2 linked regions of the Zea mays genome follow. The main gene of each other region encodes a partner of the protein of the gene in region 2 in a complex. Links are inferred from orthologs where the notes say so. Each region holds a gene or a part of one and is shown on either strand. Other genes may lie near its edges.

Region 1 (3,827 bases), on a different chromosome or scaffold from region 2:
ATGTAAGATTAGTGTAGATATTGAAGTACTAAATTCCTCCAATCACAAATATAAGTCTAAGTTTGTCCTAGGTCAATCTTTTTTAAAAAATTTCTCTAGAAATATTTATAAAATATATTCCTGTCTCTATCCTGAAATATAAGGCATCAAGCATTCATAATTTGTCCAAAATTATAAGAGATTATAGGTGAAATACCACCGCCTCCACCCACACATACAAAAACATTCTAGTTTAAAAAGGCAGCATTAATGCCTATAACCAACTCAAATATGGTAATCCCAATCTCTCTCTACAATTAAAAGAGGATTATATGCGTCATTTACTTTATCTCACAAACTGTCAATTCCTAGGATACCCTATTTTCTCAAGGGATCATCTTAAATGAAAAGAGCTATTATAATATGGGGGCACTAGGCCCGAATATATACAGCGATACAGGATAGAGACCCCCTATACAACAAGGATTCTATATATGAGGACGAACGCGATAAGGACACATGCATAGCCATCCAACACCTCCCCTCGAACTCAAGGTGGATCATCATCAAACACAGTTTGGAGAGATAAAACCTATGCTGAGATCTGGTCTACACCTTTGTGAAAAAATAAACCAACTAAAGCTCTGAAGTCACATAGCGAAGATCAATCATGTTGCATAATCCAGCTGGGTTTATTCGTTTCCTTCTTAGTTGATTGGTTGGTTTCATCTCTTAGCTATTTGATAGCTGATTGATTAGTTTTTTCTTAGCTGGTTGATCATTGATTAGTTCCCTTTCTTAGCTAATTGATAGCTGATGGATAGTTTCCTTTTGACCCTTTGTAATTGTGTGTATCATAGTGGTGTAGTTTGGCAACGCCAAAAAAACTCACTAAAGCGGTGGAGCCTTAGTTAGCCTAAACCTGACCAAGGCTGAGTTGATGGCACATGTTGTGTCGCGGCCCCAACTCTCTGGTAGTCGAAGCTCGAGCGACAATCGGGCAGAAATCGTGAGCATGATGTGGTGGCAGCATAACGGGTATTGGGCTCATGAATGTCGCAAGAAGATGGACGAACAGACCCAGACTGATCACACCAGGGAGGAGCCCACTGAAGGGACGTTGATTTTGGGCCCTGCCTCCATGGCCCAAATTGAAGAGGTGAGCAAAAGGGGGCACCAGTGCATCCATATTCCCCAAATCCATCAACCGTCGGCGAATATCGCATCACTTGGAGCTAGAGATGGACTCACCTCCAGATCGAGGACGGAGGCAGCACACGGTGGGTGTTCGGCGAGGAGCCAGAGCATGTGGCGCTCGTAGCTCTGGCGTCCGCCAATAGGGGTGGTAATGGATCGCGATCCAAATGCTTCTTCACAAAATGGTAGGGTACTAAATAAATTTTAGTTCAAAAATGAATAGAAATAGAGCCCGATCCTAATCCGATCCGGTCCTTAAATCTTATAGTGTAAAATTTAGAGCCCATTGTCACCCCTATCCGCCAATGACACCAGGTCGCCTCCCACGAAGACAGCCCCACTCTGGCGTCGGAGATCCACCTCGACGAGAACCAAATGTTTGTTCATCTCGAGAGATCCTTACACCAGCGCAACAAACCACAATACGGAGGAGCACATGACCTTCTATGAGCTCGACACCAGCGGCTGCGGGACCGTACGGTTCGACGACGGCTCCATGGTTGATAGCAATAGGTGCTAGTTGGCGTCTACTTCATTGCCCCGTTGATAGCAAACATCGCTAGCCTAGGGTAGATCGATAAGGACGGTTGTACGGTCCTAGTTAACAACGACGTTCCTGGGATCTAAGACCAATGCTGATGGTTGTTGGTCAAGTTGCAGTGTTCAACAATCATATGAAGTACAAGATCTCTAGAATGACCTGATCCAATAAAAGAATGTTTCAAGTCTACCTGGATCAGCGACTCAACCCTGCGCCTCATCCTGGTATGCATGAATCCTTCAGAACACTGATACAAGAAACCATGGCAATTGAGAACTTGCAAAATTATAAGTAACAAATTAGTGTAAAACTAATATCAAAAGTTCATAGAAGGCTAATAGTTACTATGACAGAAATTGCTTCCAAAAGAAAATAAAAATCATAAGAGACAACAATAACAACGAAGGTATCGGTTTGTTTATATTAATAATATAAGTAATGTGTTGACACATGATAATCTATCGGTTTGTTTATATTAATAATATAAGTAATGTGTTGACACATGATAATGTATGCTCCTCTGCATATCAGTAGTAGTGCAAGATGGAGTTGTTAGAACAAAGATTTTAGACTGATTGATTTACATATTTGGGGTTTGTATGTTGGGACTTGGGTTTGCACATAGAACACAATAAGAGCCGATGCTAGTCCAGAGATGCAGAGTATTGAATGCTTACTAGTAAGCAGCCAAGAACCAATACAAAGCACAAGCAACATAAATGTCAAATGTTCCCAAATATAGTGTTGTACAAACATTGAGATGGCTATGTATGGTTAGAAACTACTCCCAATTTCTCCCAAGATAGCCATCTGCAAGTACAGATTGATCCAGGAGTAGGTTGTATCACCACTCAAGCCAGCTGTTAATATGGGTTATGGGTCAAAGAAGAGTCCTTTGGTTCTATTATTCTGAATCAGAAGCTAGTGTACGCTGTGAAAATACACTGCACCCCAAAATTTCCTTTCTCTGCTCCCATCTGTAACAAATTTTCCCAGATTATTTGCCCAAATCCCAGGACTTCTCCAAAAAAATTGTATTTTGGGTATATTCGAGGCATGGTAAGAATGTCACATATTACTTGGCACTAGTCAAATACACGTGCATGTGCATTGTTATGGCTTCTATATATCATATAGATAGACTTTCTTTTAATAAAACATAAAAATATGTGTGTTATGTTGGTAAGGTTGGTGTGGTTGTAGAGTCAACAACCAAATTTCAAACCTCAGTTATGTACAATTTTACCTTATTTTTGCATAAAGTAGGAAGGGTGACGCACAACGACCGTGGAAACCAGGAAACCGGTGCTTTATAGAGTAGAGATAAACAACGATAATGTCATTTGAAGCAAACAAATCAATTCAGTTTCAGTCAAATCCAGCCATCCATATGAAATGTTCTGATTCGCCATGATTAGTGAATTCCCAGATATTCAAGGGAAGTTGCTGGTAGTAACTCAGTAATTCCATATAAACAAATGGCACCAGATTAAAGGGCCTTACCTTTACATGATAGCTTACATAAGCATGAAATGTCAACAAATTCCAAACTGTTCTATCTAGCTTTTTACCCTCAACATGCCGAGGGTAAACAACTGCACAAATTAAAAGACTGTGAGGCAAAATAGTTTCATGGAGGAACAAGGGACACTAGGAAAAGCGCAAATTACCGAAAGTAACAAAGCCAGCATTTGCATTTAGTGCATCAGCAGATACTCCTTTTAACTCAAGAGGTGGTACCGGAGACCACATACAAGAAGGAACATTATTAAGTGCAGCTGTTCGTCTTGCCTCCACAAATTCCTAAATTTAAACAAGAAGCAAGCAAGATGTTCACATCGATTGTGTCATAATGAAAGGGACCTCAGCAGAATAGTAATGCCAAGGCTTTAGCAGGGTAGCTATGCCAACAAAAAAGTTTTTTTTCTCAAACACATAGGATAACTACATTTCATTAATAAAAACACCTAAACACTACGCACCCCCTTCATCCATCCCAACCTACCCCACACAAACCACTAGGCCCACATGGACACCACACACGTTGAAAGATCAGAACAGAAGCACCATTGCAGTTCACTTTGGTGGTTTAGGGGTGCATGATTTGGTG
Region 2 (4,259 bases):
AAACAGAAATGGAAGTCTTACAGGAGTGAAAAGAGCTTCAGGAGCTTGAAATCGTTCAGTGCCTACTTTAATAACTCTTCCATCTGGAAGCTGATCACAAAAACTAAGCTTACAGTAAGAAAAGGTACAGGGAAGAAATGGAAGCAGGACAACATACTTACAGTGTAACTTTTCACAAGGATTGTGGTCTCAAGTCCTAGCTGGTATTCTCGTTTGTAATCATAACTGTACATAATTTAACTGTCATGACTAGATATCCAGCAAGACAGAAACAATAATTAAGAAAATAAAACAACTTACCTTATATAACATAGCTTCTCTTTTATTTCTCTGACAGTCTCAAAGTCAGCAGATTTATTCATAGCATACCTTTTAAAGTGGGAGAATTAATTGAATTATAAAAATAATGTAGCAGCAACTGCAGAAGAAATCTTCAGAGAAAGATAGGTATTACCCTCTCCTTGAGAGTAGGTCAACAAGATAAGATGTTATATGCCTTCCAGCTACATTCATTCTCTTTGTCAGATGTGGATAAGAGTATCCATCAACTACAGGCACCTGAATGCATGAAAAAGATGGTAGGTACAAATTTAAGATTGGAAGTGGAATAAATTAGTTAAAATTAAAAGCTTCATATCAAAGTATTTGTTAAAGTAGACACTTGTCGCACAGGGATAAAGAAGGTTGATCTCTGGTCCAAACTTAATATCCCAAATGGAAATAGGTTTTGCAACATGAGCAAAATTGCATGGTTGTAGTTTTTTTAAAAGAAAATGATGTAAAAACATCAAAAGGACACGCTGAAAACAAAAAAGAGCATGAGATGCAGAGGATTCAAACATAGTTTAAAAACCAGATAATATACAATGGTCAATTAGATAGTGTTATATCTTTTTGCTATTATTCATATGTGATTGATCTCTAATTTATAAATGTAAAGATCCCAAATTCTTAAAGGCTTTCATACAGCGTACTGAATCATTGACTGGCGCACTATTTAAAATTCCATCCTACAGTGTTCTGGGTTAATATGATGCTACCATGATATTTGAGCTGGTTACACGAAGATGATTAGAAATTACCCCCCCCCCCCCCCTCTCAAACCATAATACTTAGTCAAATATAGGGAAGAACGGTATTGACATACCACATGAGTAACACCATCACCAGAATCTATCACAAGTCCAGTTAGCAAGCCTGAAACATATAATAAATACATGTAGAGTGGAGTGTTAATGTGATCTTGTATGTGCTTGTGTGGATGCACAAAGCCCCAGACAGGAGCACATGGTCAGGAGGGAGAGATGACCTTGAGCATACAGTGAAAGAACTGCTTGGATCTGGATGAAGACCCCAGCAAAGTTATATTTCTCGAACATTGTCTCGATCTGTTCATGGGATTCAATTTTTTACGCATTGATGTTAGAAACTACAGATGTGGCAGTATGTGACAAATTGATAAAAGGAAATGGCATACCATTTTTTCTCGGTTTTTCACGGGATTGAGTGGTGGATCTGTCAGTAGGATTTTACACTCAGATGGATCAACCTAAATGAAGAAAAAAAAGAAAGGTCTCAGTTTACCAAGAGCTGGGAGACTTAGGATATATAATTAAGGATATCAACTTTTTGGAGAAAGGGTATGGCATAACAAGTAAGGGCAAAGCATACCAGCAATATAGATATACCTTGAGCTCACTGTAGAAGGCATGATCCCAGATATGGCCCATGTCATCCCAATTTTGAACAATGCCATTGGTAACAGGATATGATACATCAAGTTGATGTCTCAAGTCAGCACAAGCTGCTCCAACAACAATATCCTGCAACGAACATAAGCACCTATTATAAGATGTACCCATGAACATGAAGTAAGTTCCAGAAAGATGGTAACAAAAATAGTTTCAGACCGTCAATTCTTGTTCCTGAAGTGACTCCTCATAGCGAAGTAGCGGTCGTCCGACAACACAAGGGAACACAGATGTAGGGAAGTTCTCACCAGCAAAGCCACACTTCACATACTGCGACCAGAAGGTGTGGAATTAGAGAATGAATCATCCACTTTTGTAATCTGGCTCATTGTCGTTTACTCATACCGGAGACTCAACAAGCCTCGCATCTGTCCGTATAATGTATTATAATACTGGCGAAAGCTGAGAGCAGATTAAGGTCACCAAATTTTCAGCAGGATATCACATGTACACAGAAAATTTAGCTTGTACTAAAAGCCTCAGGCTGAATCGACATTTCTTCTGTGCATCAATATATCTATCTAGTAACTGCATTGTTCTACAGACTATATGTCTGACATTCATGAAATAATTTATGGTTTTCAACTGAACAAAAAATTGGGGGGGGGGGGGGGGGGGGGGGGATGGAACTTAACCCAAATACGCTGTCAACACAAGACCTAGACATTTTTGACCAGCAAATTTTGAATATACAGAGAGCCCACGTTAGAAGGGCTAAAATAGCAATTTTTTCCAACTTTTCGAGCACCCCACGCCATTGTTTGTGAATAACAATTCCCGACTGCGTCAGCAAATGTGGTTTCAAGCTAATCCAATGCCCCTGAACTACCAAACTGCGGCGACCGATGCCCCAGCAAACAACCGTGTCTCGCTTCGAGTCATCCATGGCTCCCAGCCACCGTCCAGCCGAATCCATCCACCGGCGGTCCACTCACGAACCGGCTCCTCCGAGTCGGTGGCCGAAGCAGCAGCGGATTGCGTCGGGGTGGTACGCGAGAAACTCGGGCGTGACCCAGAGTAAGAACGGGCGGCGGATCTAGTCTAGGAAGGAAGCGGAGATGGTGTGGATCAGGGAGGGGAGGGCTTACCCCGGTACCATTGTCGCACACCACTACGTTCCTGCTCTCCATTCGCGCTTCTCTACCTCCCCCTCCTCCTATGGGGAATTGTGGAGACAGGTGGGGAGAAGAGAAGACGAACCAGACTGCGGGAGCGGGACTGAAACTACGGACGGTCCCTGACCCTGATCAGTACTACTCGTGTCGTTAGTGCTTCTCTTGTGTTCCTCCCTCTCAAAAAAAAAGAACAATTGGATCTATATCATTAAAAGATCCAAACTTTAGATATATACCATGGATCTCACATGTCATTGACTCATGTGGACCCACATGTAAGTGAGATAGTAATGGTATGGATCCAAAGTGGTGATCTTTTAATGGTATGATCCAAATTTCCCCAAAAAAAATGTTGCTTCTCTTGTGTTAATCGTTGTCTAGTTACAAAATACTCGCGGTCACAAAATATAATTCTATTAGCCTACATTTTTTCGTCCACGTTAATATAAATGATAATGAATATAAATATAAATGTAAACAGCATTCATATGGTACTTAATGAATGTACAATTAGTCTCAAACAAATTATACATGTAAATTGGTCTTACATTTGTATTCCTAGCTCAATGGTATACAAAAGACAGTAGATAATAACATTACATTACAACATTACATCTCTACTGTTGGAGAGGGAATTCTTCGGCCGGGTGGCAGAATGTATCCGCCCTAAATCCTAAGATGAAGAAGGGGCTTAAACGTTTTGCCTGTCTTGCTAAGCGATCACCGAGCACATGAACACACGAGGATTTATAGTGGTTCGGGTCGTCGGAGCGTAATACCCTACTCCAGTGTGTGTTGGATTGTTGTGGAAGCTTGAAAGCTGAGAGTCTCTGTCTAAGTTTGGTCTAAGAGAGCTTGTGTTGTAACGTTGCATGACTCCCCTTTTATAGCTAAAGGGATGCATGTACAAGGGTGCTGAGCCCCGACATGTGGGCCCAGGAACATAACGGATATAGTGCTTGGAGCTACTAATGTTCGCTGCTGGAGCAATCTTCTCGCGCATTGACATCTGAGATCTGCATAGCATCGGCGTGCAGGGGAAGCTTCTCGTATAAGGGATGATGGACACAGTGCGTCGCGCAGCACGGGCGCACTGTTTGACAATGGACTGGACAGACGCGCCGTCTGCAGGATGGCCCTCGCGCGACCTGCTAGCGGAGTGGACAGGACGCATTAAATGCTGAGGGGGCACATCGCCTGTCAGCAGGGTGGACAGGCGGCGCGTCCTCTCCGCAATAAATGCAGAGACCGCGTGGCCTAGAGGCCTTACGTCAGGCTCCGCCCGCTGGCTTATGTCACGGGCAACAAGTCACGTGGCAGCATCGGGTCTCCGCCTGAGCGGGGAGCGCAAGCGCACAGGATAAGGCCTGGACACGTGTCAGTACCGGACCCT

The links.
Region 1: actin-related protein 2 (region 2) and Actin-related protein 2/3 complex subunit 2A share a complex: the UniProt entries of both Arabidopsis thaliana proteins name them as parts of the arp2/3 complex. The link is inferred for Zea mays from reciprocal best matches to the Arabidopsis thaliana genes ARP2 and DIS2.

Annotation. Positions count from the first base shown.
Region 1 is NC_050097.1:239,327,541-239,331,367, forward strand, and holds part of Actin-related protein 2/3 complex subunit 2A, read right to left. Parts: intron 3,521-3,827; coding exon 3,388-3,520; intron 3,313-3,387; coding exon 3,221-3,312; intron 1,965-3,220; coding exon 1,908-1,964; intron 1-1,907. UniProt on the Arabidopsis thaliana protein: Functions as actin-binding component of the Arp2/3 complex which is involved in regulation of actin polymerization and together with an activating nucleation-promoting factor (NPF) mediates the formation of branched actin networks.
Region 2 is NC_050102.1:183,446,039-183,450,297, forward strand, and holds the start of actin-related protein 2, read right to left. Parts: upstream 3,037-4,259; 5' UTR 2,882-3,036; coding exon 2,840-2,881; intron 2,022-2,839; coding exon 1,911-2,021; intron 1,824-1,910; coding exon 1,689-1,823; intron 1,550-1,688; coding exon 1,478-1,549; intron 1,389-1,477; coding exon 1,310-1,388; intron 1,198-1,309; coding exon 1,148-1,197; intron 559-1,147; coding exon 455-558; intron 370-454; coding exon 301-369; intron 226-300; coding exon 162-225; intron 91-161; coding exon 22-90; intron 1-21. UniProt on the Arabidopsis thaliana protein: Functions as ATP-binding component of the Arp2/3 complex which is involved in regulation of actin polymerization and together with an activating nucleation-promoting factor (NPF) mediates the formation of branched actin networks.